Linked DNA regions of Caenorhabditis elegans. The protein of the gene in region 2 purifies or fractionates together with the protein of the main gene of each other region. This does not show direct contact. Each region holds a gene or a part of one and is shown on either strand. Other genes may lie near its edges.

Region 1 (7,875 bases), on a different chromosome or scaffold from region 2:
TTCATTATTCGAGCGGAGTGTTCCGCCCGTATCCAACTGATGGTTTCGACGATCGAATTGTGTATTGGCACGTGGTTCGATTGATCGGATGGGGAGAATCAGATGATGGAACACATTATTGGTTGGCTGTTAATAGTTTTGGTAACCATTGGGGTGATAATGGTGAGTTTTCGTGCAAATTGCGCACGGCCCGGCAAATGGTACATCCATACAAATGCGCTCCACTGATAATTTGAGTTTAGCCAGGTTTGGGCGCGTTTTAAGGAAAACGCCTTGGTCCAAAAAATTTAGAATTTGATTTCGGACATTTTTTATATGCATCACAAAAATGTTGGACGAGCCGTTTTTGAGAAAAAGCCCAGGTATACGGTAAACAAATTGCGTACAGGTGCCACTTCCCGGGCCGTGATGCGCGTTAAATATAGTGCTTTTTAAGAATGCGTGTTGCGCAACATATTTGACGCGCAAAATATCTCGTAGCGAAAACTACAGTAATTTTTCAAATGACTACTGCAGCGTTTATGTCGATTTACGGGCTCGAAAAAAAAGTTACAGCGATATTCCATTTTTTCTCATTTTTTGCTTATTTTTATTTAGTATTCTCACGGTGTGTCATTCTGTCCCATAACGGTTTGATCTACAAAAAATGCGGGAATTTTTCGCCCAGAAAAATGTGACGTCAGCACGCCCCTAACCATACGAAATTTGTTGAGAAATCTGCGTATAAATTCCCGCATTTTTTGTAGATCACGCCGAAGTGAGACACTTTGACACCACGTGTATTCTATCTAAAAATAAATTATTTCAAAAATAGAGCCCGAAAAAAAAAATCGACAAAAGCGCTACAGTAGTCATTTAAAGAATTACTGTAGTTTTCGCTACGAGATATATTGATATTTTGCGCGTCAAATATGTTGCGCAGTACGCATTCTTAGAATTTTGTGTTGCCGTAAATAAATTTGGACGTCAAATACAGTGCATATTGCGGTCGATCGGCTACAATATATTTTGCGAGCAAATTTGGAAGTTTTGCGCGTCAAATATGATGTAGCCGATCGGTCATGTTACAAAACACCATATTTGACGCGCAAAACTTTAATTTTGGACAAAAAGTCAGAGAATTAGTATTGCGTAAAAAACTGGCAATTTTTTTCAGAACATTTCTGAAATTTTCAATATATTTTCAAACTTTTCGCGTCAAATATGGTGCATCAAGTCGCGAACCAAATACACTCTAACACGTAGTGCCAGGCTGTCCCATTATAGTTTGACCTACAAAAACGCGGGAATTTTTCGCCCAAAAAAATGTGACGTCAGCACGTTCTTAACCATGCAAAATCAGTTGAGAACTCTGCGTCTCCTCTTCTCCCGCATTTTTTGTAGATCAACGTGATTCAGGCCGAAATGTGACACTCTGACACCACGTGGCCCTAATTAACTCGTAAAAATCACCGTTTTTTTTCCAGGACTCTTCAAAATCAACACAGATGACATGGAAAAATATGGTCTAGAGTATGAAACAGCAGTCGTCTAATTATAATTCGGCAAAAATTTTTTGTAAATAGTTAAATATTGTCCACCTATTTCATCCCCACCCGATTGCATCTCAACTTGTCCCATTTCCGAGAAAAATCAATTATTTATTTTTATTCGGCCATCATTTATTAGCTCCCTCATTCCATAGTTTTTTTTTAATTAGATTTTTTTTGGATGCTAAAATTTGCCATTCTCATAGACATTTTCAATATTTGTGTAAAATAAATCATTTTTCTGGTCTTCAATTGATGGAAAAAAACAAAAAAACAATGCGCGTCAGGTTTGGTGTATTGTGTGCAAACACCGAGCGCATATTTTGAAATTTATTTTTTTTTCGAATTTATTAAAGTTGCTGATTTTCTTTAATTTCAGGCTTAAAAATGTCGGATTTTGTGCCAGAAACCGAGGAAAATGAAGAAGAATCTCAAAAAATCGATGAAATCCATGAAATCCCAGCTCAAGCAATTATCATCGACCAAAGTGAGGAAAATGCTGACTTTATCAATTTTCAATTACTTTTTGCATTTTTTCTAGGTTTTTCTCGACGATTTCTCAACAATAAATGGTACGGAAAGTACGGCGAAGATGGGGATCTTCTGGAGCACATCGACGAGGACTGGGAGCCCGTAGGCCTCGACGAAGTGGAATTTCTGAGCCAACTGTGGTTTGAGCAGGAGGATCAGGAGAAAAAAGCTCATAGGCACTATGATTGGGATGAAGAAAAGAAGGAATGGGTGCCGAAGGCCAAGCAGGAGGAGGTCAATGAGGATTTTATCGCAGAATATCAAGCGAATTACGGGGTTCAGTATGATGATATTTATAAAAAAATGGACGAAGAATTGCAAGAAAAAGCGGCAAAAGCTCAAAAAGAAGATGAAGAGAAGAAGGAGAAGAAGCGGAAGAAAAAAGTTGGCTTGGGAGCCGGGGAAGACGCTAAAGAGGGCTGGCTTGACCTAGGAGATAAGGTTCATGCGGTTTATGTGTCAAATCTTCCGGAAGATATTACAGACGAGGAATTCCAGAAATTTATGTCAAAATGTGGAGTTATTCAGCCGGATATTCGAACGAATAAGCCGAAATGCAAGCTTTACCGGGAGGAAAACGGCAAACTCAAAGGCGACGGAAGATGTTGTTATATTAAGAAGGAATCTGTCGAGCTTGCCTGTAACATTCTCGATGGAGCGAACTTAAACGGGCGGGAAGTGAAGGTTGAGGAAGCTCGATTTGAGATGAAGGGCGATTTTGATCCGGCGAGGAAGCGGCGGAAATTGACTGCGGCGCAGAAAAAACGATATATGGAGCAGCAGAATAAGTAATAAAAAATATTTGGTGAAATTTGAAATAGCTCGTAAATCGACATTAAGCTGAAAAAATGAAAAAAAACCAAAAAAAATCGTATTACGGGAACACAAAATCCTGAGAATGCGTACTGCACAACATTTTTTTTTTTTTTGACGCGCAAAATATCTCGTAGCGAAAACTAAGACTACTGTAGCACTTGTGTCGATTTACGGGCTGCTCGATTTTCGAAATGAATTAAAAGAATTTATTTATGTGATATTGAAATTGGGCAAAAAATAGGAAAATAATACAAAAAAATCTAAAAAATTTATTTCAATAATCGAGCCCCCGTAAATCGACACAAGCGCTACAGTAGTCATTTAAAGAGTAGTTTTCGCTACGAGATATTTTGCGCGTCAAATATGTTGTGCAATACGCATTCTCAGAATATTGTGTTCCCATAATATATCGACGAAAAAATTGGCCCAAATCGTGGATTTTTGTCCGAATTTGATGACAAATGGCTTTGAAAATCACAAAATTTCAGAGAAAAATTTCGATTTTTGGTTTAAAAAAACAAAAATTGAAACCCAACAAAATTGTTAACTTGAAAACCTGCTGAAAATCTTAGAATTTTCAGATTTCACCCAAAAAATACCAGATTTAACTCGAAAATTGCGAATTTTAGGCCAAATTCCTTGCATTTTTCATAGAAAAGATAAACTAACGACACAAAATCAAATGAAATTGACTAAAAAACTATTGAATTTTGTAGAAAAATCCCGATTTTTGCCTAAATTTGCAAAAAAAATATTTTATTTTAGCATTTATTTTTCTTAATTTTCACACTAAAAATTACGAAAAAAGACAAAAAAAATTTTTTTCATTCAACAATTTTTTGGGCTAAAATGTGTAATTTTTGCGGGAAGAATTCGAAAAATTATTAAAAATCGTAGAGACTAACTGAAAATCAATTTTTTAGGGACCAAAAAGCCAACTTTTGCCGATTTTACTCAAATTTTTCCGTGAAAAATCCGGAATTTTTAAATATTATTTAATTGCGAAATTTTACAATTTTTACACCTAAAATAAGGGTAATATGGTAGCTGGTCTCGACACGACAATTTTTTTGTTAAATTCTAAAAAAGGTGTGCGCCTTTAAAGAGTACTGTAATTTCAAACTTTATGGAATTTTTTTTTGATTTTTCAAATAAACTACGAAAAATCGAAGAAAATTCCACAAAGTTTGAAATTACAGTACTATTTAAAGGCGCATACCTTCTAGAATTTTACAAAAAATTTGTCGTGTCGTGACCGGCGACCGTATTACCCTAATTTTTGGTGTAAAAATCGTAAACTGTCCGGATTTTTCACTACGAAATTCAAATTCGAGGAAAATCGAAAAAAATTGGTTGTTTTGGTTCCTAAAAAATATATTTTCAGTTATTTTCTACCATTTTTTAATAATTTCTCGAATTTTTCCCTCAAAAATTACAAATTTCAACCAAAAATTCTGATTTTTCCTTTCCAGAATCTTCGAATGGACGCCCGATAAGCCACGTAACTACCGTCCAAAGTCGGACTGTACGGTTATTGTCAAAAATCTGTTCACTCAGGAAATGATGAACAAGAATGCGGCGTTGATGTTGGATTTGAAAGAGGAAATGACACAAAGTTGTCAGAAATATGGAATTGTTAAGAAAGTCGTCGTTTATGCGGTTGGTATTGAGGAAATTTGTGGAAATTTCGATTTTTGTAAAAAAAATTTATTCTAAAAAAATAAATTAAAAAAAAAAGATTTAAAAAATTTAAAGCTAATTTTCGAAAAATTGAAGCTAATTTTGGAAAAAAAACCGAAAATTTTTTTTTTTAGAAATGTCGATATTCATAAAAAAATATTCTAAAAACGGGATCAAAAATTTTTGAAGCTATTTGTCGGAAAAATTTTTAAAAATGTAAAGCTAATTTTCGAAAAAAAACCCAAAATTATTGGATTTAACAAATTTTCAAAAAAATTGTTCTAAAAAAGATAACCTTTAACATTAAAAAAATTATGGCTATTTTTCGAAAAATTAAAAAAAAACAATTTTTAGCTAATTTTCGAAAAAAAACCGAAAATTTGTGGAAATTTCGATTTTCAAAAAAAATTTATTCTAAAAAAAAATAAATTTTTAACATTAAAAAATGGCTATTTTTCGAAAAAACCGAAAATTTTTGGAAATTTCGATTTTCGAAAAAAAAGTATTTTAAAAAAACAATGAGAAATGGTTATAAATTGTTCTTTCAAAAATTTTTTACAGCTTTTTTTTTCGAGAAATTTAAAAAAAAAACAATTTTTAGCTAATTTTAAAAAAAGTAAAGCTAATTTTCAAAAAGAACCCCAAAATTGATGCATTTATCGATTTTTAAAATAAATTGTTCAAAAAAAGATAAATTTAAAAAAAAAGTTATTGGATTTTTTAAAGTTATTGGATTTTTCAATTTTCAAAAAAAAATCATCAAAATGTATAAATAAATAAAAACTATGGATTTCGAAAAATTAAAAAAAACAATTTTTAGCTAATTTACGGAATTAAAACAACAAAAAATTTCGGAAAATCGAAAATTGTTGGTTTTTTTTTTCGATTAAAAAAATTCAAAATCTTCTGAAAGACATTTTTAAAATTTCCAAAAAAAAATTATGAGTATTTTTCAAAAAACAAATCGAATTTTGATTAACTTCCGATTTTTTTGACATTTTTTGAAATTTGAAAATCATTAATTCAAAAATTTTTATTGAAATAATTCAAAAATTTTTATTGAAAAAAAACGAAAATTTTTGATTTTCGCTTGAATATTTCGGAAAAAACAATCGATTAAAAAAAAAATAGGCTTCTAGTTATTTTTCAAGAATGCTTTTTTTTTGACAAACTGCTGATTTTTTGTCAGTTTCGTCGATTTTCGTTGTAAAAAATCAAAAATTCAAAATTTCTTCTATTACGAGTGCACAAAATGCTGAGAATGCGTATTGCACAACATATTTGACGCGCAAAATATCTCGTAGTGAAAACTACAGTAATTCTTTAAGTGTCTACTGTAGCGTTTTCGGAAAAATTCCACTTTTTTTATTTAAAAAAAAAAACGAAATATTTTGATTTTTTTTTATTAAAAAAAACGAAAAATTTTGATTTTTTATTAAAAAAAACGAAATATTTTGATTTTTTATTTAAAAATGAAAAATTTTGATTTTCCAAAAAAAAAGGCTCCTAATTAAAAAAAAAAAATTTTTTTGAAAAAGTGCAGATTTTTGTCTTAAAATTTAAATCAAAAATTTTTAAATAGACTTTTTCCATCAAATTTCCCCAATTTTCAGAACCACCCGGACGGCGTCGTATCGGTAACCTTTCCAACGACAGAAGAATCGGATATGGCTGTAAAATATCTTCACGGACGAGTAGTTGACGGTCGGAAATTGACAGCCGAGCTCTGGGATGGCCGGACAAAGTTTAAGGTCGAGGAGACGGAAGAGGATGAGGAGAAGCGTCGGAAAGAGTACGAGAAGTATATTGAGGGTGGAAGTAGTGAGACGAAGGAGGAGAGCGACGACGATGATGACGATGAAGCTGAAGATAATTGATTGATCTAAATTTTTTCTGAAAAATTATTTTTAGTTTATACATTTTTCCGAGAGGAGCAACCGATCAATTTTTACCAAAACTATGTTCAAAATCGCCCAAAAATATCAAATTTAGTGAATTTTCGTTTTCATGGATTTTTCGAAAATTAGCTTTAAAAATGTTTGCCAAATTTTTCGACGATATCGCGATATTTTAAAAATTTCGAACAAAAATTGCCTAATTTCAATTAAAATCCCTTTTTTCGAAATTTTCTAATTTTCTGGGCCAATTGGGTCGTTTAAAAAGAAAAATGGCCAAAATTTGAGAGTTTTAAAAAAATTCTAAAATTTCAATCCTACGATTTTCCGGGAAAAAAATTTTCTTGGAAAATTGCTTTTTTTTTGAAAAATTATTTTTAGTTTATACATTTTTTTTCCGAAAATAGGAACAACCTATCAATTGAAATTTTCAAAAAAAAATTAATTAAATTTGGAAGCATTTTCCGAAAAATTGCATGTTTTCGGTTTTCTAGAAAAAAAAAACTAAAAGAACGAAAAATTTCACCAAAAATCAAATATGAAAATACTTTCCTAAAAATCTGAAAAAACCAGAAATTTTCAATTTTCCCTATTCAAAAAAATTCAAAAAAAAAACCAAATTTCAGTTAAAATCCCTTTTTTCGAAAATTTTAAAATTTTCTGCGCCATTGTGTCGTTGATTTGAAATTTTTTTCTAAAAATCCGTGAATTTTTGAAATTAAACAAAAAATTTGAAAAATCAAAAATTATCGATTTTTCAACGAAAAAAATTCAAAAATTTCAATCTTACGATTTTCCTAACTAAAAAAAAATTTGAAGTAACGAAAATGTTCAATTTTTTCGAAAATTTTCGAGGTCATTTAGAGTTTTTTCTGTGAAAATTGCATTTTATATACTCATTTAAATTAATTTTTATATATTCCTTTCCCGAAAACTTCAAAAAAAAAACCCAGTGATACAATTAAAATCGAGATAATCACAGACAAAGTAGGCAGTAGGCAGGCAAAAAACAGGCACATATTAAGGTAATACAAAATTCTGATAATGCGTACATCGCAACACATTTGACGCGCAAAATATCTCGTAGCGAAAACTACAGTAATTCGTTAAATGGATACTGTAGCGCGCTAGTGTCGATTTACGGGAATCTTAAAGAACCTAAAGAATTGTAGGAAAAATGGAGATCCCGTAAATCGACACTAGCACGCTACAGTATCCATTTAAAGAATTACTGTAGTTTTCGCTACGAGATATTTTGCGCGTCAAATATGTTGTTCAATACGCAATTTTAAAATTTCGTGGTCTCATAATAATACACAATTAACTAGTAAATCTACAAAATCTACAAAATTCTCTTCATCAACTCTTCCACAGCTCGATCGACCTGTGCATGAGTCTCCTCGTACGCCCACAGAGAGCACAAC
Region 2 (4,809 bases):
GCTGGCTGCACGCTGTCATTGTTGGAGGTGGTGATCTGATTCTGATGTTCAGTCATCCTCATGAGATCTTTCATGACGTCATCGACTGGTACAATCCCATTGCCGCTCAGCTCCCATTGATCTCGGTCGCCTATTTCTTTCAAGACGCCTTTGACATGCTGATGTATGAATGGAATAGCTATACATTGGAGCTGCTGCTTCATCATTTTGCAACGTGTGCCGCATTGGTGGCTCCCGGGCTGACTGGAAAGTTCACACTGGCAGCCGGATGGGCTTTGTTGATGGAGGTCAACAGGTGAGAACTTTGATTCCCATTTGATCGTGGAAAACACGCTCCGCCCCAGAGATATGGGTCTCGTTAGGTATTTCGCGATAATATTGTAAATTCGCTGGGCGCGTTTCTACACCAATTTCAGAATAATATACAGTACCCCCTGACCAATTTTCTAATTTTCAGCATCTTCCTTCACGCCCGAACAATTCTTCAAATCTGTGGCCTTTCCACCCAATTTCCTGGAGTATTCCGTGTTGTCGTCTACTCAAATATCATCAGCTTCTTCTTCTTCCGTATCGTCTCTCAAATTCTCTGGACAAACTGGGCAATTTACAATGTTCCTGGTCTTCATTGGTATTATGTGCTTGTCGGATTGGGTGGACCCATCATATTTGGTTGTATCAATGGAATGTTGTTCTTGAGACTTCTTGCTTCTGACGGATTTTTGACCGAAAAACTTCGAGCGAGATTTGCAATGACTCGAGACAAGAATGATGATCAAGAGAAGAAGAAGGGAAATTAGAATTTCGGATCTTATGATCTTACTAGAATAATTTTCATCTATTGTACGGTTTATAATTTACGGGATAAAAAATAAAGATTTTCTTTTAAAAAAAGGTACCTGTAACACTGCGCCGACAGCTTTTCGTGCAACTTTCAGAGTATCTCTTGTTAAATAAATACTATTGAATTCTTTTTCAGCCTCTTCCATCAATTCCTCATCCTTCATAGTTTCAGTCGTCCTCAAATGTTCCAGCATCTTCTTCGTGTGAACTAATCGAATCTCCTCATTCGTCGCAATCCTTTCACAATTCCTATCCACACACTTCTCCAGTACTCCAGATTCTCGCAGTGTCTTCAGAATTCGACGTGTCCGTGCCGGCTTCTCGGGATGATTGTCCTCTTCTAAATCGAAATGAGCATCGTCTCCTTCGTTGAAATAAATCAATGTTTCCATATTTTCAGTGGGTATCACATCGGAAGCTGTGAACTCAGTGGATGCAAGTTCATCTTGAATAATCTCACCAGTGTCGGCACGACGAGTTGTTGGATCGTAGTTGTAGATTACTTTTGTGTTCACACTGAAAATTAATAGATTTGGAAGGTTCAATGTTTTTTTTTCAGGAAGTATGTATTTTTATTAATTTTCGATGATCTGTTTTCGGTGATTTTTGGATGCCTTTATCGACTTAAAATGTGTCTAAATCAACGATTTTGCAACAAAAATACATTCTAAAAGTTTTAAAAATATAAAATACGTATTCCTGCTGCAGATTTAGCGAAATTCGGTTTTTTTTTAACTTTGAAATTTTCCTAATGAAATTCGCCCGTTTTGGGGTGATTTCGGGTCTAATTGAGCCCAAATAGTCAACGTACATCGGCCACTGAGCCAATCTTAGTGAAGTCCGAGACGGAAAATAGTCGAAGCAGTTCCAATGATGTCGAAGAACGGAAACAAGGCTAACACATGAATCAACCGTACTTTCTTTCGGTGCTTCATTCAATTCAATTGAAAATGGAGCATATCCGAGCAGTACTCTCACACATCTTTGAACAGCGACTGCAGAGATTTGATGATTGTAACCTCCTTCCAATACGACCAACATTCTTCCCTGTGCAAGTGATTTCAGATGATATAAAATATGTGAATAACCATCAGGTGTAAGACACATTCCACCTAAAGGATCACCGAGAAGTGCGTCGAATCCAGCAGAGATTATCACAAAATGTGGATCAAACTGAGTTGCAAGAGGAAGTAGAACATGGAAAATAATCGATAGATAATCAGAATCAGTGCATCCAGTTTCATTTAAAGCCAGATTTGCGTTGTATCCCAATCCCTTTCCTGATCCAATATGATCAAAATCTGATTCGGGAAGATGAGGCCAAAAGAGACCATGTTCGTGGCGATGAATTGAGAAATATAGTACTCTGAAATTCATTGAAGAAAATTATTATTTCACTATAAAATCCTTTTTAACCTTTTATCATCATAAAAAATCCGCTGAGTTCCGTGTCCGTGGTGTACATCCAAATCGACAATCAAAATCCGTTCGGCTCCACTGAAAAATGCTTCTTCGGCGGCTTGGGCGACATTATTGAATAAGCAGAAACCACAAGGCGATACAGAATCTGCATGATGTCCGGGTGGCCTGACGACTGCAAAACCATTCGAAGCTTCATTAGCCATGATTCTATTCGTCAAATCTCGAACACACGCGACACCATCTTTGGCAACTTTCATCGAGTTCTGAAACTTTATTCTCAACGTTTTGTGCTTCTTTTTACCCAATTAATACCTCTGTCATAAACACGGAATCATATTTTTCGCACTGTGAATTAATATCTTCTTGTGTTTTCTTTTCAGATTCCATTAAATCTTTAACCATGCTTTTATCGTGGGTTACTTCCAAGTCAGCATCGTCGATCTCCAGAAAATTTGTTAGTACAGTGCATTTTTCGAGTATTTTCGTCTTTGTTAATGCCTCTTTAATCTTCAAAATTCGATCCGAAGACTCCGGATGTGTTGGGCATACTGTATTCTCATGTTCATTTTGAGTTTGATTGAATCCGATGAGTGTTGGACCCTGTAAATAGATTATATGATTGTACGAACATATACTTTTCTTACCGTTGATCGATTTTTCTGCCTATCTTCGAAAAGCATGGAAAACTAAACGATAAATGTTTGAATAACCGCTAAAAGTCTAAAAAATCCTGTGGAAAAAATGTCCTCGTGATGGCCGTGGACTAGAATATTCAACTCAAGGCTACGGCCATCTGTGCACTTTACCGTCAAGTCGCGTGTGTTCTGACCTGTTTTGCATTTTGTTTATGTTTTTTTGTTTTTGTGTTATGCATCAATAAGAGTAATTGGACAAAAACATGAAATATCAAGTTTTCTTTGATTTTTCCAACCGCCTTGTGTAGATTTATAGTTCGTTTTTTAAACGTTTGCTCCTAAACACCCAATTTATGTATTTTACGTTGCAAACTTTTTGCAGAATGGCGACAGAGTCGGGTGGCTTGTCGAAGGAGGAATTCCTTCTTGTTCAAGAGCAACTTTTGCAGCTGAAAAATGAAAATTACGAGTTACGAGAGGAGATTAAAAAGAAGAACGCAGCAGCTTCCCAACACCAAAACTCTCCGAAAAATGAAGCATTGCAATTTGCTAGCAAGGTGAGGAAAAGTTTATTTTTATTATAATTAATTTAAATCTTTCAGTTAATCAACAGAGCATCTTCTTCGAAAAAAGATGAAGCAGAAATTGAGTCGCTTCGGCGGAAACTAGAGACCCAAGAGCAAGAGTTTCGCCTTCAACAATCTACCCTTTTTGAAGAGCTCAAGACAGTAAACTTTACATTTAAAATTCAAGCTTTTCAATGTCCAAATTACAGATATCCACACAAAATGAGACATTAAAGAATCAAATGTCGTCTTATTCTGATCATCCTCTGGAAAAAGAAGCAGAAGAAAGGCAAACAGTGGAACAATTAAAAGAAGCTATTAAAAATTTAACAGACGAAAAAGTTTTGCTATGTCAAGGTAATTTTATTCCAACTTTGTTCAATACAATTAATTGTATAAAAGGTTACAGAAACAATTCCTGCTATAAGCAACAAAGTTACAAGTCTCAGTGAAGAACTTGAAAACTGTCAGACATTGAACGTCGAGCTTGAAGATCGTTTACTCTCAATAACTTCAGAATCCGAAGCTATTCTTAAAATTAAGGAGAAGGTTGTCGAGGAAAATTTGCGAATTAGGAAAGAAATTGAAGAATTACGCAGAGAAAATGAAGGGATTGCTGAAAAAATGAAGGAGAGTAACAATGCAGTGATGGATGAAAATAAAAAGCTTTCTGATGATAATCTGGAATATAGAAAGACAATGTTGAGTCAGAAATCTGAAATTGACAGTTTAAAAGCTGAGAATTTTAAACTCGTCTCTGAAAATCAACTAAATCATGACGTTTCTAAAAACCTTGCTGCTCTACAATCAGAAAAACTAAAGCTGACTGAAATATCTCAACAAGAAATATCAGGTTTGAAAAAAAAGATCGAAGTTTTAAAATCGGAAAATCATCGTCTTTCGTCTCAAATCCAACAGAACACTAATGAAGCTGCAAAGAACCACGAAAAACTTTTAGAAGACCGAGTACTTCTTCTCGAAACTCGTTATCAATTGGAAGTTGATGATCTTAAAAAGAGTTTTGAGTCGGATAAAGAATGTTTCCTTTTGAAAATGACGAGTTTAGAGGAGAAGCTGAAATCAGCGGAAGAAGACAAGAAGCTCGCAGTGAAAAAAGCAATGTCTCTTGTGAAAGAGCTACAAAAATCATTAAAAGAAGAGAGAAAACGAGCTGATTCTTATGAGAGAAAAAGCGAAGAAAGAGCTGGATGGCATGTGGTTCCACCAGAAAATGATAGGCAAAGTAGTCATGTAAGCACATTTAATCAAGGACTAACATATATTCATCAAATTTTTCAGACTTTCGACGGAAACGAAAGTGTTTCATCAATGTCGGCAATCGAATC
Region 3 (3,680 bases), on a different chromosome or scaffold from region 2:
AAAGAGCCATTCATGGAGTACGTTTTACGGATTGCAAGGACTAAAACTATATTTGAGAGGATACCTATTAATGATACCTGAAATTGGAGCAGTTTACAGTACCTTCTATCAACTACGTTTTACAAAAACTCACAATAAAGGTGATTGCGGAGACGACAAATTGCTGATACATTGGGAAATTTTAGAATGTTTTCTGAGTAACTTACAGCTTGATGAGACAATATCATGGTGATGAAAAAAATCTGAAGGAAATATGAAAAACTGTGCATTTTAATTTCCGGTCTAGCCAACGGCGTGGTACTATTGATGTATTATTAAAAATAATAGTTAATTTACAGCTAGAGATTATCAGCGCATTTTCGTAGATCAAACTAAAAAAAACAGTTATAGAAATTGCAAATGCGCTCTGAGGTACTCGGCAAAAGTGGCTGCCAAAGTTTTGTACATTTTTATTAATACTACTGGAATCAAAAATTTACAGTATAACTATTTAAAAAAAATCAAATAGAAACAAATTTACAAATAAATTTTATGAAGTTGGCGAGAACATGTCGTAAAGATTCTTGGGAAGAGCGTACAAATTGAGCATATTTTTGATTTCCATGTATTCGTGAAAACGGTGACTGGCTCTCTGAAACATCTTTAGAGTTTATAATCAAAAAATTGTTGCTCCGCGAGCAACAAACTTGAATTGATGGAAGTATGGACAAAACTGCGCCAAGCCTCATTGCTGCGTCATCATAAATATTTATACATTGATAGTGAAAAAGTAGATCCTTGATGATATTGCTCTTAATCTTCACAGCTTCTTCTTGAAAATCGGCTTCTGACTCAGAATCCGATTCCAAGAGAATGATACCCGCAAGCGCGAGGAACTCATAGATATCTACATTTTCAGCACTCAACGGAACAGTTATAGATGATTGTATTAATTTTAGCCTTTGAGCGAGTATTTCAATATTGTCTCTTTCAGTGAAAGTTTGATGATCGTTGGTGAAAAACGATTCAGAATGAGCCAAATCGATGTAGTCACCGGATGGAATGAGCATCACATTTTTTTGCTCTGAAAATTTAGATATGGAATGAAAAAATTATGGCTGAAAAAAAAACATACTTGCTGAACATCCATTAAACGAGCTCTCAAATAGACAGAACGACAAGAAGAAATTTTTGAAAAATGCGAGTTTTGTGTCTGGAAGAAGCATGGAGTACTCGGGAAATGCTTCCCAGAGGAACTGATATATGCTTGTCGACTCGTTTTGAAACACGATTGGAAGCTCGTTAAAGCCGATGGCTCGGGGTGCTTGGTTCTGAAATGGTTCACTGATCAGGTATCAGTATTTCATATGAACAATTAAACAGTCCTTACCTCCCGCCTATTATGCACGTGTTTCCTGTTTAAAATTAACATTTCGTACGCTCTTCGCAACTTATTAAGCACTGGCTTTCCACGATCATCAGAGATATTCAGACGTTTCCCGAGTTGTTCACGTCTCTGTTGCACCGATGATCGTTGCATTCCCATTTCAAGGCACTTACCGTACCTGCAGGCTTTACACATGCTCCGTGCGTCTGAACTTAGTGGTGATATTTGAAACCCGACCAATAAAAACTTGCATGATAGGAAAAAGCATTGCCCATTTCTCCCACACTCGTGGATCTTATTGTGTTGGACTGTGCGGCGGAAAAATGCAGCGCAAGCTCTGAAAATTTCACGAATTTCAAAATTTTTGAAAAAGTTACTCACCTACACGCTGCAGCTACTCCAAAATGATTCCCATCAGCAACCTCACTACAAATCAAACAATATGGAATCGGTTCATTGGATGAAGCGCTTCCAATATTGTTCAACACACGAGCTAGGGTGAACATGTTTCTGAAATAAATGAATAATTAATTATCATCTGCAACTGCACCTGTTTTCAAATGGATTTAAAAAAAACAAGAATAACAATATTCTGAGATTTTTGAATTTTTGAGCTTCACAAAATCCCTTGGATTAGACTATATAGAGACTAAAAAAAGCAGAAATAAGTTTGTAAGATCAAAAAGTTGGAGGTAGATTTGTTGTGTGATGTGTCTGCCAAATAGAACTCATTACACACGTTTTGAATATGATCAAACACTCTGAGAGCTAACGAGACAATATATTATATATTCACGAGGCTCATTAGTCATAAAGGCAAATCGGACTCCAGCTTAATCTGATGTTATTTCAGAACTCAACAAACTCTTGAAAAACAATGGTTGTGGCATGCTTTTATACCTCGTGTGCCTATTGAAAATTATAAAATTGCATGGCGTGTTTGCACAGCTTTCCGAAATTATACTCTTTTTTTTAAACTGAGCATGCTCCACCAGAGCGCATTAACAGAATTTGCGAAATCCTCTCCTTCTTATGGATTTGCCAAAGTTATTTTTTCTGAAAATAGCATTACTTTTGATTAAAAATTTCAAAAAGTTGCTCAACTGCAAAGTCGCATTGTTCGGTACATTTATTCGGCACATTTCTTCTTCTTATTCCCCACTTCTGCTTTTCAGGACAATTCTAACAAAAGTTTTAATTTTATAGACAAATAAAAATAATACTTGTTTATTGTACACTAAGAAAATAAATTTAAAAAAAACATTAAAATTCAGGAAGTTGGCGAGAACATGTCGTAGAGATTCTTGGGCAGAGCATACAAATTGAGCAGATTTTTGATTTCCATATACTCGTGGAAACGGTGACTGGCTCTCTGAAACAACTTTTGAGCTTATAATCAAAAAATTGTTGCTCCGCGAGCAGCAAACCTGAATTGAAGGAAGTATGGACAAAACAGCGCCAAGCCTCATTGCCACGTCAGCGTATACATTTATAGATTGATAGTGAAAAAGTAGATCCTTGATAATAGCGCTCTTAATCTTCACAGCTTCCTCTTGAACATTCTTCCGATCGGCTTCTACTTCTAAATCGGATTCCCAGAGAATTATAGCCGCTAGAGCTAGAAACTCATTAACATCTACATTTTCAGCACTCAACGGAACAGTTATAGAAGTGTGGAGCATTCGAAATTGCTGAGCAAACATCGAAATAGTGTCTTTTTGAGAAAACGTGTGATGATTATTGTTGAAATATGACTCTAGATGAGCCAAATCAACGTAGTCGCCCGAAGGAATGAGCATCACATTTTCTTGCTCTGAAATTTCAGTTTTTGATTTAATTTTAATTTTTATCTAAAAAGTGGAACTTACTCGTCAAATATCCATAATATGAGCTCTCCAAAAGTGTGAATGGTAGGAAAAAATTCTTAAAAAGCGATCGTTTTGTGTCTGGAAGGAGCTCAGAGTACTCGGGAAATGCTTCGCAAAGGAATTGATAAATTACAGTCATCTCATTTTGATACACTACTTGAAGCTCGTTGAAACTGATGGCTCGGGGAAGTTGGTTCTGGAAAAAAGTTTTAAGCTTTTGGTAATTTTTTTGAAAATTTCGAAATGAAACTCTGTAATTTATGTTCGAGGTTCTTAAAGTTTTTTTTTTTTTAATTTCCCAAACGGCGCAGTGGGAGTTTTCTTGTACACAAAGTTAGGGGGTTCGACCCTCACTGTGAGTATTTTTTAATTAAAAAAATGTAAAGCATAAGTTCAGATTTCATCCTTTAACAATATCCAAATATCCGTATAAAATCACCCCTACC

Evidence for each region. Proteins that work in one complex are often made in the same cells at the same time.
Region 1: the proteins of hda-6 (region 2) and cus-2 fractionate together in Caenorhabditis elegans (co-fractionation; one large-scale study listed by BioGRID). This does not show direct contact.
Region 3: the proteins of hda-6 (region 2) and nhr-199 fractionate together in Caenorhabditis elegans (co-fractionation; one large-scale study listed by BioGRID). This does not show direct contact.

Annotation. Positions count from the first base shown.
Region 1 is NC_003279.8:652,212-660,086, forward strand, and holds cus-2 (17S U2 SnRNP complex component HTATSF1), read left to right. Parts: upstream 1-1,878; 5' UTR 1,879-1,916; coding exon 1,917-2,016; intron 2,017-2,070; coding exon 2,071-2,848; intron 2,849-4,348; coding exon 4,349-4,535; intron 4,536-6,169; coding exon 6,170-6,433; 3' UTR 6,434-7,375; downstream 7,376-7,875. Other genes in the region: Y65B4A.2 (Peptidase C1A papain C-terminal domain-containing protein), read left to right, coding at 1-162, 1,467-1,534; Y65B4A.8 (Cytidyltransferase-like domain-containing protein), read right to left, coding at 7,794-7,875.
Region 2 is NC_003282.8:5,361,280-5,366,088, forward strand, and holds the start of hda-6 (histone deacetylase), read right to left. Parts: upstream 3,005-4,809; 5' UTR 2,943-3,004; coding exon 2,907-2,942; intron 2,863-2,906; coding exon 2,575-2,862; intron 2,532-2,574; coding exon 2,257-2,531; intron 2,207-2,256; coding exon 1,652-2,206; intron 1,357-1,651; coding exon 897-1,356; intron 880-896; exon of another isoform or gene 798-879; coding exon of another isoform or gene 458-797; intron 296-457; coding exon of another isoform or gene 1-295. Other genes in the region: F41H10.5 (TLC domain-containing protein), read left to right, coding at 1-295, 458-797; F41H10.4 (GRIP domain-containing protein), read left to right, coding at 3,281-3,454, 3,500-3,625, 3,673-3,820, 3,873-4,714, 4,763-4,809. UniProt on the Caenorhabditis elegans protein: Probable histone deacetylase. Histone deacetylases are responsible for the deacetylation of lysine residues on the N-terminal part of the core histones (H2A, H2B, H3 and H4).
Region 3 is NC_003283.11:15,698,028-15,701,707, forward strand, and holds nhr-199 (Nuclear hormone receptor family member nhr-199), read right to left. Parts: upstream 1,873-3,680; coding exon 1,748-1,872; intron 1,704-1,747; coding exon 1,370-1,703; intron 1,311-1,369; coding exon 1,115-1,310; intron 1,064-1,114; coding exon 501-1,063; downstream 1-500. Other genes in the region: srx-29 (7TM GPCR serpentine receptor class x (Srx) domain-containing protein), read right to left, coding at 1-77, 134-172; Nuclear hormone receptor family member nhr-53, read right to left, coding at 2,637-2,738, 2,794-3,179, 3,235-3,430, 3,680-3,680. UniProt on the Caenorhabditis elegans protein: Orphan nuclear receptor.